Linked DNA regions of Lepisosteus oculatus. The protein of the gene in region 1 interacts with the protein of each later gene in a pairwise test. Links are inferred from orthologs where the notes say so. Each region holds a gene or a part of one and is shown in the gene's direction. Other genes may lie near its edges.

Evidence for each region. The genes of interacting proteins can lie anywhere in the genome.
Region 2: the proteins of rtn1a (region 1) and ugcg interact in a two-hybrid assay, tested with the Homo sapiens proteins (2 studies listed by BioGRID and IntAct). The link is inferred for Lepisosteus oculatus from reciprocal best matches to the Homo sapiens genes RTN1 and UGCG.

The regions. Positions count from the first base shown.
Region 1 is NC_090703.1:7,146,641-7,154,185, reverse strand, and holds the start of rtn1a (reticulon-1a), read left to right. Parts: upstream 1-4,474; 5' UTR 4,475-4,658; coding exon 4,659-4,893; intron 4,894-5,659; exon of another isoform or gene 5,660-5,752; intron 5,753-7,545. Other genes in the region: lrrc9 (leucine-rich repeat-containing protein 9), read right to left, coding at 1-63, 461-524, 712-852, 1,204-1,422, 1,615-1,671. UniProt on the Homo sapiens protein: Inhibits amyloid precursor protein processing, probably by blocking BACE1 activity.
Region 2 is NC_090698.1:63,931,224-63,938,298, reverse strand, and holds the start of ugcg (ceramide glucosyltransferase), read left to right. Parts: upstream 1-3,873; 5' UTR 3,874-4,034; coding exon 4,035-4,132; intron 4,133-7,075. UniProt on the Homo sapiens protein: Participates in the initial step of the glucosylceramide-based glycosphingolipid/GSL synthetic pathway at the cytosolic surface of the Golgi.

The DNA.
Region 1 (7,545 bases):
AGCTGATTCTGTTTCCAGATAGGTTCAATGTTTCAAGAGCAACGTTAGGATCAAGGCAACATCCTGAAAAAATGTAAAGTATTTTTATGAGCTACAAGGTACAGTATATAGAAGATGTTTCATAATCCTTCTAATATATGAAAATAGATTGAAACTATTACTTTCTAGCACTTTTTTCTTTCTCTCACTGGTGGCAAACTTCTAACCAAATGCTAGTTTTCTAGCAAAAATCTTTATTTGAGAGTATCAGTATCCTAATTAGTAATGGTTGTCCAAATAAAACTGATTTATACAATATGAATATAAATCATTGAACGTATACTCAAACTGTAAAGATAATTTAAAACGTGAACATACTGCTCATTTGTATTTCTTACATCCATAGATTAATTGTAAAAGTCTGAACAACAAATAGTGAAGCACTACAATATAAATGTATAATTTATTGTTCATAACATACCAATTTTCTCAATTGCATTGCCAGCAACATTCAGCTCTCTCAAATTTTTGAGTGTATTTAGTCCCTGTAAACAAACAACATGGAGGAAAAAAAGTTAGCAACGTGCATGTAAAGAAGGAGATTTTTTTATTATTTGTCTTAAGTGGCAAAACGTAACCATTTCCACAAGAAAAAATAATTTAATTTGTATTTTTGTGGAAAATTATCAGTAGAAGTACAATAACAAATAAAGGTGCCAAGGTGTGGGATACCTCAATAACAGTGATAAGGTTGTTGTTCAGCCAAAGAACCTCTAGGTTCTCCAGCATCTCCAAGTTCCCAATCTTAGTGATTTTATTGTCGTATAGGAAGAGCTTCTTTAACTGCAGACAGGCTTGGAGGCCACCAATCTCCTTTGTGGAAACAAAGACAAAAAGGAGTGAATCACGAAAGCGTTTAGTTAGAATTTTGTAACACACACAGAACGCTTGTCCTTGCAGATAAGAAATGAACAATATCTGATGTACAAACAGAGTGACTGGTCTTACAATGGCGGCAGTAGAATTACCATGCCTGTTTACTTGCTTGTTAGGATTCTGATCAAGTACAAAACATATATTTTTTTGCACTAAGCCTACAAGGTGCGTCTGACAAAGTCAGTGCTTCATTCCACGGCTGATCTCCATCCGTTTTGGCGCCGACAGTAATATACTTAAAAACTAGAGGCATTAAAAAAAACAGGAAAAAAAATTGAATCGTCTCACAGTCAGCTGACATTCAACGATCCACAGCTCCTGGAGCAGGGGGCAAGAGTCCAGGCCCTCAATCCTCCCCACGCCCTGCCCCACGACAGTCAGCTGGGACAGGCGGGGGAAGAGGTGAAGCCCCACCATGCGGGGGTACCCCGAGAAGAACATCTCCAGAGCCAGGACATTGCCCCCTTCCGCGGACACCTTTTCATAGGACAGCCCATTGGCGGCACACTGTGAATGACAGGAGCAGCCCAGTTTGGTCAGATCCAGTGACTCGACATAAGCTGAATGTGTACTCTCACGCCGAGGACCATCCCAAACAGCTTCCCAGGAGTGGAACCCTGCGCGACTGCATGTTTTCGCAAAGGCACGGGAAACAGATGCCAGAGTTACTGCAAAGTATAGAAAACAACTCTGCCTCACCAGCTCTTTGATGACTTCTTCATCTCCATTTGCTTTTTGCTTGTCATTTTGTGTCATACTTTTGTCCTCCCCGCTTGGAACACTTTGATGGGAGGGCAGTTACAACATGACGGAGCTGGAAATGCAAAAGCCACAGTACAAAAAGTCTAAGAAACTTTGGAAAAGGTTTCTAGAAAAGGAAAATAACCTTCACGTTGTCACACAACTTTTAACCCTGCGAGATACATTATTTAAGCCTCAGAAACAAAAAAGAATCTCAAAATCTGTTTAACTCAGATGATCATTCTATTTTTTTGATTTTCCTCCCAATTTTGTCATTAGGGGCTGAACCTTCTGCTTCTTGGAGCCCTTTCCTGTATGGATTGTAAAAGACTTCAAAACCTTTTATTCATATTTTGATTTATTTTTCCTGCATCACTGACCAGCCCAAACAGAGGACAAAGCAAAAGGAAGAACTGTGGACGAATGCCCCATCCCCACTGTGCTTCATCCTGTCTTGCACAGGCTGGTTCTGTCGGGGTGGCATTTGAGCAGGGCCATTGTGCGGTACACACTGAAGCAATTGGCTCTACATTGTTTCAATCTCTTATTGTGTCCCCAGGCTCTTAGACTTCACTCATTGCTTTGCTCAGTTCCACTTAGGCTACCCCACAGTGCAATGCAGTATTCACAATTTCACAATACTCCTGCACCTTATTTCATTATTCTCTTCAGCAGTTTTAGTTTGCACTCAGGACAACTGGATTCCCCTGCTCTCTGTTTCTTTGTTCTCATTTTTATTTAAAGCGGACAAGAGGATCTACTTTAAAACTGAAAAAAGGCAAACAAATGAATCCACTGACCCGTTTATTTTGGGGGGAAACTGATAAAAGCTGGTCACGAATACCCACTTTGCAAATTAGTGTACCTTTAAAAAAATCGGCGATGCTTATATTACCAGTATTATTCGCCAAACTGTACTTGAAAACGTAGTGTACTAAAGCGGAATGTGTAGCTAACTAGCAAGATGTGGACAGAAAGTAGCTAAGAATGTTCCGTCTTAATTTCTGGAGATTTAAAGCTAATAAATGGACATAAAAACATATGACTTTATAACCCAGGCAAAGTAATGTAAACTGCCTTGATATTGCTACGGCTATACCTGGTCAAGTTCTAAATGTTTAGTAGCTATTACATTATTTAGAAAAATTACAGAGGAATGCTTACCCTTTTTGAAATTGCAGTTAGTATTTACTCCGTTTTCTTAAATACATTGAAAACAGCTCTTTTGTGTTGCATTTCTGGTAGTTGTAATTATTTACGCCGTTTCCAAGGAACCTGTGCGTCCCCGTTGCTCGGGAGCCATCTTGAATCCTCAATAAGAGACAATTCGTGACAGACCAGCGGTATGCGCTGTTTACTTGTTCAGGTTGGGGGGTGGTTTTCTTTCTTTAGTTTATCATTACTCACAGTGCCAGTAAGTGAAAGTGTTTGCCACTGTTAAGTATCATTGACAATTAAGTTTCGGTGTACGTATTATTAAAAGCATATAATTACACAACAATTCTATTTTTATGTAAGAAACATGATTGAAGTTTCCCAGATATTTGCTCAATAACCAATAAATGAAGTTTCCAACTAAAACCAGATATAATTACTTTAATGGCTGCAGCATTTCACGGCCCCTGTCAAATATATTGGAAGTATTTTGTATTGGAGTATTTGCTCTCTTCTGTTACAGACTAAGCATTTTATCTACCAGCAATGTTTATGTAACAGTATTAAAAGTGATCGGGCGCAAACCCGCAGTGGTATTTTTGTGAGTCTGTGTGGAATGTTTACGTTGTTTTGTCTTTTGATTTTGCTGTTGGTAAAATACACAGAGACAAAATCTTTTGGGCGAGGGGGAATACGGTACAGTATTTTGAGACGTCTGTGAGATTTGGGCTTGACTGCTCTCCTCAGGTGAGATGCTCCCGTGCAAATGTAAAAACAAAACACTCAACTGAGACTAGCTGTTTGAGGGCCCATGTGGAGTCCAGTAGGCTCCCTACAGAGTGTACAAACATGAATTTCCCAGCTGTTATCTTCGATCCCCACAAGATGCCGCTGTAGAGCTTGCATCGTCCCATGCAATCACGAGCACACACCCAAAAATTGCTGGAAAAAGGGAGCTGGGCTTTCCGGCAAATTCCAGCTACGTTTCTGGAAATCTGCATGAAAAAGTTCGTGCGCATCTCTAAGGAACCCCGCAACACGGGTTCTCGGCTATGCTTTGAAATTCCGACTTATTTCTTGGTTACTCTTCAATACAGAAAACCAGACCTTCGTCATTTCAATGATTTTTTAAATTAAATAACTACGACGACTTCCGATCCCAGCACACATCATATTTGCCGCCTGCCTCCGAATCGAAACTCACAGTTAACGCGTTTCAGTTTTTTTTTATAAGCCTGCTTATATCGGGAGGAGATGATAAAGTTGTCGTCACATATCTGTTCTGCGCCCATCACCTTTTTTTTTTTTACTTCTAACAATACCACATCCATACAGTTGTGAATGGAACTTGGGGTTGTTGTTGTTTTTTTTTAAAGAAAAACGATTAAAATGCAGTTAGCCCACACGCATATAAAGCGGTTTGAGGTAACTTGCAGAAAGACTTCGACCCAAGGAGAGAACTCTTAATTCGATCGGCTCCATCCTCTCCAGATGCAGCAGTGCAACACAGCGCACGGCTCTCCTTACGCCAAACGGTTAACAGACTGTTACTTTCCGTCCTAAATCCGTGCCTACCATAAGCCACAGATAGGGTGACGTCAGTGTCGAAACACTGAACTAAACAAGCCATTTTCACATGCGTAATGCTCGAGTAGAGTGCAAACCAGCGCTAAGACATTCACTAACAACTGCTGGCGTGCGGCACCCGTTTCGGCAGAGTGATTTATTTTTTTTCCTCCCCCTCTTCCTCCTCCTCCTCCTCTCCCTCCCGTCCGTCCGTCCGTCCGTCCTCGACCCAGCTCTTTTCTTCGTTGTGAGGTCTCACACACACACCCCACCAAGCCGGCATGTCTGCGAAGCCCAGCGAGGAGCCTGGTTCGGAGGGGACGTGGTTCGGGGAGGACCTCGACCAGCCCGACCGCTGCGGGGGGACCGTGCCCCGGTTCGGCGGGGCGGGTGCGGACCCGGGGGTGGACCAGAAGCAGGAGATCTGGAAGGATGATGCCAGCGAGCAGAAACAGCCACAGCAACCTGACGGCAGCCGGCAACAACCCCTTGTTGCCATGGAAACTGCATCTACAGGTAAAGGCTGGATGCAGGAAAACATACTACGTGCTCAAAGCCAATTAGCCGGACAGTGCAATGTGTGGTATATATATATATGTGTGTGTAGTTGAGTTTTTCAATGGCCTTTATATTTTAATGTTAAATATGACACGGATCTACAGCAGGCATTCTTCCTAGGGAAGTTAAAAAAGTGAACAAAAGACATTCGCCCGGGCACCTCTTGTCTAATAGAGGAGCTGTTTTATGGCGCTAACGTTATTTCGTAAAAGTTAACTCGTCCGCACTTGAATCGTACCGTCGCGTTGAGTATTTTTAGTCAGGAGAAATGCGGCTTGCGTTTTCGAAACAGAAAGGGAATGTTTGATTTTTTTAGAAAGTCTTTTTAGAAAATGGCTGTCGTGCTCTCCAGTAAGTTTCACGATTTAAGGTGGTGGGTCTAGCCCGTCACGGCAAAAAAAAAAAATCGTAAAGTTGCGGTGTTTTCACCGTATAACAAAGTTTCTTATTTAAGGTGTCAGCAGTTTTCCGTTGCATTTCAGACCGCGTTTTTCTCAGATATTCTCAAACCTCCATTAGTATTGGAATCTGTGAGGTAAACGGATACAGGGAGAGAAAATATGATGACTAATAATCGTGGCCTAAACACGATTATTAATAATGTTTGTATTTGTCTTTTCTTCAAGCTCGAGTTATCACTCAGTGATGTGGAAATGCAGACGGCTGCTCACAATAAATCATCATCATAATTGTGTTTGCGTCGTGCCACCTCAAGATCTTTAGTTTTCGCCTGTCGGGGGCGGGGAGGGAAAGTTTTCCCACGGCGAGGTGACACGGATTTGCGGCGTCCTGCGAGATTTTGAAGGGAACGGATGCAGTGAGTCCAGTTGTGCGTGGCAGGGCGTGTGTGAGCGTGGTTTCTCGGCTTATTGTGTGAGCTTGCAGCCCGGGTTTGGATAGGAGGTTCCTTAGAGTAGCGGCCCTGCCAGAGGGTGGAAAGTTCTTGACGGTCAGTCGGACGCAGCTCTCCTCATTTTAAAAAAGGATTGGCCTTTTATTATGAACCTGGATTATCATTTTAAAGGCTCACAGGTCGGTCAGAGACACTCGGCGTGTCGGGACCCGGTTCGTCAGACCTGGGCTTCCAGTGTGCATTAAGAAGTGCCTTTTAATTAACATCCCATTCCTGAGTGGCAAATAGCTGCAGAAAAGATGATGTGACATCAACGTTTTTTTTTTTAATTTTACAAGCCCAGTCATTTGCTAAGTTTGTTCATCTATGATGTGGGCACAATGAACCAACTGACAAAAACTAACAATAAAGGTTTCTAAAGAAATGTCTCCGTTTTTAAACCAGAGCTTGTTTTGTTCTATGAGGATCTGCATCACAAATAAAAGGAACAGGAGCTTTTAAAGTGCATTAACCGAATCCCTTTGAATTATTCAGTCACATATAGCACAGTATATTCTTGAATGAAGTCCTGTAGATTTTTTCAGGTCCCCGTGTCATCTTCCTTCATTTTAGTTTTCTTAATTTCACAATTCTTTGAAATCGCAGTCCTGTGGCTTTCATTTTTCTAAGAAGGTCAAGAAATTATTAAAGAGGAAGCTTTAAAAATGGCACGCACATCCGCAGTCCTCAGTCCCAGTGCTAGTACAGATAAAATATGCAAGCAAATGGAAAAGTTGATGTAGCTGTGTCACAGCCCCCCTTGTCTTCTGTGAGACAGGGAATGGGAAAGGGCAGCAAGGAGGCTGGGACTCTTGGGTAAATATTTTGGTGTTTGGAAATATATCAGGTCAAAGGACAGAGAGCTCATAATAGTGGAGAGATCTTCCGGAGCTCTGCAAATATCCAAACACAGGAGGAAGTAGTAGCCTCCCACAGTTTCCTCCTTTGCAGAAAAGGATTATTTTAATTGTTTTGCTCAGAAGAGGAGTGTAGTGCCTTTGCTGTTGTTCTCCCAGAAAATAGTCGGACAAAAGCACTAGCTGACAGAAACAGCAGGGATGATGCCAGCCTTCTTCACCTGGCACCGAAATAAAGGTACACATAGTGGGCATGTTGAATTACCCAACCCTGACATATGTCTGTTTGTACGTTTGTTTGGACCTGACATCAATGAAAACCAGTAGCTGAAGCGGTTAGCTTATTCCTTGCTGGGAGCCTTAGTCTTAGGCATCTTTTTTGGGGGGCTAAGCTGTTATGCTGCGATGGAGTGGGGCCCCGTTTGGGGTGTACCCTGCCTTGCGCTTGTTTCCTGCTGGGTAGGGTTAGGGTTAATGACCAAAGTGGTTTGATAAATGACATGACATACACTGTTATGTATTGTAGTTACATGTTTTAAGAAATATGTAGTCATGAGAAATTTGACTTGTTTTTATTTGGTTATCTAAAATAGATTATTTTTTTATTGAGTATGATAAATTAGTAAACTTTTAGTAAACGTGTGATTTAGACTGTTCTAATGTGGGCATAGGTCATTATGTTTTATATAAGTCCAGCTCCAGCAACATGGCACAAATTAGTGCTTTCAGTCACTATAGCCTTCACTCAGCACGAATCTTGTCATTCTTACTTGACCACTTCAGAAGACTGAGGAGGAAAAAGGGATGTGAAAACATGCAGCACCTTGTACAGCCTACTAAATCATTCAATATGTTCCATTT
Region 2 (7,075 bases), on another chromosome or scaffold:
TGCAAATATAACATAAAAAAGAACACGATCTGAAATGAATAATAAGATTTTCTGTATAGACCATGTCACAAAATCTTAAATTCATAGGCAATGGTTTTCCCTGTGGGCATTGAATGGGCAAGTAGGCACATCTAATTCATTCTATTATGGAGGGAAATCTGGCCACACTTTGGTCACAGGGAGAATAAAGAGCTTGTTTTCAAGTAATGTTTCAGTTAATGTACAGTATTTTTTTCTAATAAGATAACAGTGTACTATTTATTATTACGAACATAAGAAATGAGAGGGGGTTACCCAGTTGTCATTGCTAACTGATCAAAGGGTCTTGTTATCTTTATCTTATATTTTCTCGAAAAAAGCTCAGAGTAACATCTTACAGTATCCCACAAACCCTTGTGGGTAAAAACTTACATTTCTTCTTAGTTTCCACTTTTGTTATGTGATTACCATTTCTGTGTTGATTCTGAACAAACCCATTTTGGGATTTAAAATACTTTAATCAGGTCATGTCATACACCAGCCAGCAGTTACAGTATATCACTTTGCAGCTCTCAACTGGCTACCTGCTGAAGCTCAGCAGGGCTGAGCCTGGTCAGTTCCTTGCTGGGAGACATCCTGGGAAGCTATGGTTTCTGTGGGAAGTGGTGTTAATGGGACCAGTGGGGGGTGCTCACCCTGCGGTCTGTGTGGCTCCTAATGCCCTGATATAGTGGTGGGGACACTATACTATACTGTACTGTAGTGGGCACTGTCTTATGGATGGAAAGTTAAACTGAGGTCCTGGCTCTCAGTGGTCATTAAAGATCACTGGGCATTTCTCAATAAAAGTAGGGCCTTTTCTGTGGCCTCTGAATTGTCCCCATGTATGATTGGCTTGCACTTACCCTGCGATGGACTGGCACCCTGTTCAGGATGTGCCCTGCCTTGTGCTCGTAGGCTCCGGCTTCCTGTGACACCATATGGTATAGCGCGGATGGCAAATGACATACCATACACCTCTCTTTTCATGATTAAAAAGATTTGTTTCTTTTAGCCTGTCACTAACATTCCTTTATGCCTAGGAATATATCTGGTCACTCTTCTTTGAAGTGTTCAAAGAGCAGCAATTTTAATTTTTGCAATGTTGTGATGAAACTTGTGCATAATATTCTAGAAGACAGTTTCCTAGACATTGTACAATTTTAAGATCAATAAGAAAATAACACATTTTTGACTAAATGCTTAACTTCTAATTATATATTCTAACATATTATTTTCATTTTTAATTGCTTCCCCACAAAACGATACACAAATTGTCAAATACAGCTCAGAGCCCTGTTCCTTCCTGATTCTATTGTCAAGTATTGCAATAAGAATGAACAGTTTTCTGTTCTTAAATGACTCTTGGAGATAAGTGCTTGTGTGTCATTGCATCAGATTGTCACTGCAGTAAGCGGACAATTAAAAAATACGGAGCACAAAAATGTAAACTGTAGAGGAAAATATCCATAGGAGAAATGTCTGATGTACAATTTATTTTCCTTCATTTATCTTCTTGCATTCATTCATTTTCAAACCGCTTCTTCAAATTCAGGGTTGGGGAGGGGGGGCTGAAGCCTATCCCAGCAAGCAATGGGCACAAGACAGGATACAGTGTTAATGGGACAGCAGTCCATCACAATGCATGCAGACACAAACATACACACACACACTCCAGGGCCAGTTTTCCCAGAAGCCTATTAACTTAAAAATATGTTTTTGTTTTTGGATAAACATATTGCCTGATGATGCAGACAATATTTCCACTGTACTTCTAAATAAAATCATACACAGTCATATTCACAAGCTATAACCTCTGCTACTGTTTTGGCATCCAATAATACGTAATACTGTGGAATTTAGCATAGGTGACTTGTGCTCCAGGAGCTGCCAACTGCACACAGAGGAAGATTCAATTTTATTGAGGTCATGGTATAAAGAATGTCATTATTCCTTGACATGCAGCTTTTTACCAAGAGTACATGCCAAACACGAAGGACATTCTCCATTAAAATACATTGATCATTTATGACTTTTTAATGTGCTGGGTAAGGTATTTCACTGTAGGTGCCATGACATCTCACAGCTTGCTTAATGTGCTAACTGACATAATGCTTAAGAACATGAACTGTACCCGCAACATTCCTGTCAGTACAATACAAGCAATGCTTGCAGAAAACAAGCACTGGAGTAGTGGTTAGGGTGTGGGATTTGTGATAGGATGGTTCTGTGGACAAATCGTGGGTGAGGCACTGTCATTGTCCCCATGAATAAGGTACTTCACTCAGTCAACTTCAGTACGATTCCCCAGTTTCTGCATATAATACATCCATTTTCTAACTGCTTTATTTTTTTTTCTTATAAAATATACTTTATTCCGAAAAAAAGGAGACATCTCACGCATGTTAACACTCCACGTAATAAAAACAATGGCGGAACGGCGGCGATTGTCCGTTATCAATCATTGCAAGTGTGGGTGGATTTGCGCTATTATGAGAGTCCCTCCAAACCCTACCACTTGCTGTTGTCCATTAATCCCTGTACAGGGTCCAAAGTCCTTTCCAGCGCTCCCTCGCTGTGGGGAAACCCCATTTGGCAACGTCGCGCTTCATCCTCCTCCTGAGGTCCGCCAGGATCCTCTCCTCCAGCTCCCTTGCTCCCCACTTGACATTGTGCCGGATGAGATTGTTCCTCGTGTCCCACAGGCCTTTTTTTTGTCCCACAGGGACAGCAGCAGCCACATCAGGAACTGTGTCCCCTTGTCTAATCCGGTAGGTGCCAGCCCCTGTTTTATAGAAGAAAGGCTCGGGGGAGCAGAGCCTGAGCCTATCCCTCAAGCAGAGGGCACCAGGCAGGATACACCCTGGATGAGACACCAGTCCATGGTAGAGCACCAACACAGACACATTCACAGCACCAGGGCCAATTTCATAGAATACCAGTATGTTTTTGGACTGTGGAAAGAAATCAGAGCACCCAGAGGAAACCTCTTGCAAACACAGGGAGAACATACAAACTCCACACAGGTAGCAATGCAGGAATTGAACCCAGGGCCTTAGTACTGCTAATCAGAAAAGCAGCAAGGCTAACCATTGCGCCACCGAACCCTAGACGTAAGTCATTTTGGATAAAAGTGTCAGTGTAGTTTAATAAACATTATTTTCCAGGTTAGTTCCTAGTAGATATTTGGAACCAAATAGACTCAATGGGTTGAAGGGCCTTTATTAGCAAAGGTTATTATAATTAACAACTTTTAGTATGTTCTTATGGCTCACACTTACGCGTATTAGACAAAGTTTAAATTAATGACCAACTTCCATATTCATGAGCACTCACAGAAAACATTTTATCTAACACATTCGTCCTAACATTCAGTAGTAAAGAGTGATACCTGAATAGAGGTCCTGTGAAACTCCAGTGATACCTTACAAAAACGTGGAACACACCACGTAACAACGTGTAATAAACACTGCTCATTAAAATGTACTTATGTGACAATCTCATCTCTTCTAAATTTATTGAGCACTCAGGTAAACAAAATAAGCCCTAAATAAGTACTTTGACGTTTTTCAAGTTTTTCTGCAAAAAGTTAACCCTTTCAACGGAACAGTCTTAGTTTCGGGTGTCAGCTTCAACTGCACGGTAAGGTAGGGTGTTCCATCCAGTCACAGGCTTTTTGTTACATTTAGTTTTATTACGTTCGTCTCTCCCCCACCCGCAGCAAGCACAAGCAAGGGCAACACAAAAGCTACACAATTTTACTCGTAAGGGGGCGATAGATCGCTCTCCTCTCAGACCCAGTCTTCCTGACAGCCTCCGAGACCACACCCTTTAAAGCGTTAACGGGGTTCAGTTCAAACGTAAGCGGCATAGGCCTTCCCCCCACGGCTGGGCACGCCCCGTGCTCTGCGTTAGCTCCCCGCAGTGTCGGCGGACCCAAGGTTTCTCTTATTCAGTCGCTTCAGTGCTGCGCTAGCAAGTACCTTAGCCGGGACTTGAGTTCATTAAGTACAGACATGGCACTGCTGGATCTGGCCCTGCAGGGACTCGCTATCTTCGGATTCATCCTTTTCGTCGTTCTGTGGCTCATGCATTTCATGTCCATCATCTATGTGTAAGCCAGGCCCTTTTTTACTTATATATATTTTCCAGTACTTGACTGTGGGTGTGTTGATGTGTTTTTTTTTTTGCCACCTCCGGTGTTCAAGTGTTACAGGCTCGAGTGCGCCGCAAATCTTTTGACTTCAGACCGCCTGACAAAGGCCTGTCTGTACTCTTAGCCGCCAAACTGGTAGTAGGTCCTCGGGGTTTGGGCATTTCGCTTTATTGATTATTCATGGCGAGAATGAAAGAGACCTCATGTATCTTGCAGAACAGCTGACGTTCAAGTGGGGAAGGAAGCGGGGCACGGCAGGGTCAGGGGGAGCTTGGGTCCCCTCAATTTGTGGCAGCTCGCTTTGTGATAAAGAGCCCCTGTCTCGCAGGGCTTCGGCGTCTGGTAGTTGGTAAAACCGTGAAGGCTAATCGTGGCGGAACAGGCAACCGTGCGTTTTGGCTTGTTTACGAAATGCGTTTGAACAATGGACCGGTGCCATAGCGCCGAGCCTGCGGTGTCTCTGCGCTCGGACTTCAGTGTAACCAGGAAACCGGACAGCACGGGCTGTCCAGTCCCATCGCCGTGCAAATCAGGTGCCTGTCAGACTTGCACCAGAGCGAGAGGAGAGGTGTGCTAACACCTAGGGTAGTAAAGCTAAACACCGCAATTGGTGAAAACATCAGAATGGTGCTAGTCTGTTGCTTTTTATTCATCAGCTTTAACAAATATCATTAAGATCTGGTTCTGCTGTGATTACATATTCTCATTCACCTATAGAGGGTAAAGCAAGCGGATGTGCTCGATAGCCGGGTTTCCCTGAGAACACGCCACCCAGATGAAGGTGAATAATAGGGATTTTTCTAATTAACTGGTTAGATTCCCAGCGAAATACTCAGTGATTTTTTTATTGGGGGGGTAAAGCGTCCTTGAAGGATTTATAAGGTCGTTTGCTTAATCCGGCTGTGAAATGTCATTGATAAAGCTGACCCGGTGTTCCGGTGCCGATTGAGTCGAGGCGACATGAGTGCTTAACTGCAAAATATAAATATCTGACGTCTGTAGAATTACGGGAATTAAATTTCCATATTCTCTATATTTATTTCCATACGTACAGCACCCACCCCAAGCAATTTCTGGTCTGACAACTCAGTGCGTCATTATAGATAACCGACATGTTTTCATTTATGCCATCGGAACATTTAAGATGTTCGTCAAAGTAGTAGTCTAGCAGTAGGCTGGTGTGTTTTGCAGTTCCTGGCTTTTGATTCTGACGTCGATCAGCTCTTAGGCTTTTACTCATGACAATGTCATGTGAGCCCAGCTGATCTCCAGGAATTCCACTACCCACTGTCTTGCTGTAATCTAAGAGATATCGCACTGTGTTGAAATTAAAAACAATAAGAAAATGTTTCCGTTGAAGGAGTAAAAATGTGTGTGACTTTCACTCCCCCAACCCCCTCACGAAGGTTTTGAAATTTCCAGAGGACGTGACTCGTTTTGATACAGTAGTCTTTGCTCAACCTGTTTTTGCCTGAGAAACAGTGCACTTTACATGTTTTCTTGAGATGTGTAGAGTGCTCGGTAAATGTCGTGACTGTTTGCTTTGAAAGGCTACTCAGCTGATCATTTTGTTTCTATTCGGTACACTATCAATTACTCCGAAACTTTTTCCTACACAGGCAGAATCCAGTTAGTTCTTAGTGTCTTCATATGTGGGGGTTTGTACATCTACCACAGAGTTCAAAGAAACACTTTGAAGACACAGGAAAATTATGCATTTTTCCCCCTCTGGTATAGCCTCAAAACAAATTCTTTCCTGTCACTTTTTAGCAGTAAGTAATTAGTCTTTCTTTTTCACATGGTGCAGTTGGCCTCTTCCCTAGTAGTTATAGGTTGGGAGTGAATTCTGTCAAGTCCCTTTCTCCAAGTGCTTGGCAAGCAGAACATAAATACAGTATATGAATTGGAGGTTTCCTTTTTTAGCTGCTGTTTGCAAGTAGGTGGACTGCATTGCAAGCCTGGACTGTTCATTTCAAACAGCCCCAGTGAAACGCGATATCTGAGCACTTATGATGCATTAGCTGCTGCATACTGCATTATAGCCATCACCGTCTTGAAATTAAGCCCCTCGTTATGTACATCCGAATTGCCGTTTCAGATGAGGAGAGCCTAAATTTCATGCCGTGCTGAAGTATTTTGAAAAGTAAAAGGGCACGCAGAATGACGCTGATCTGATTTCCGTGACTTACATTTCTTCTTTTTTCTTAACTCACTGGATTAAAAGGGACCGTAATGTAACCATTCATGTGTCACTGTAAGGTAATTCACGGCAACCCGTTTTTAATGCAACCCTGAAATTTAAGGCACCCATGATAGAGTCCAGCCATGGTAGAGTTAGAGCCGTTTCCCGCGTGGGAGGAACTCATTGCCTCTCATGCTTTTGCTAGGCTTCTATGTCGCTCGCAATGCAGTGACAGCCGGGTTACCTGATAGTTTCTGAGTGGGAGGAATTTTGGACTGGCTTTAAATGGGCTCTTGAATGCAACTTTTTTTGTCTGTCTCTAACTGCCCCGGACTTTAAGGCCTCCTCCCACCTTTTGCTACTTTGTCGTTCTCCCTCGTCGTTGGGCACTTATGCCAAGGTGTCCAGTTCACACTGACCCAAGTGTTGGGAGTCCGTCTTTCCAATTCAAGAACAATATTGACCCAGACTTTCGTATTATTTGCTAAATCAGTCCTTTGTAGCGTTTTTGCAATGTAGTTTTCAGTTGGCGGTTTTAAAAGGTTCACATTCTGTCAGGATCCCGGAGCTATAAAATAAATTGATGAAAGGCTTGGACCAGAAGCAGGAAGACCACAGTTGTTAAGAACATTAGTAGCTTTGTTGGCTTCTCAGATTGTTATTTATATTGGTCTTGGCAAATTAAAGACCTTTCACTTACTCTACACGCAAAGTGTAGC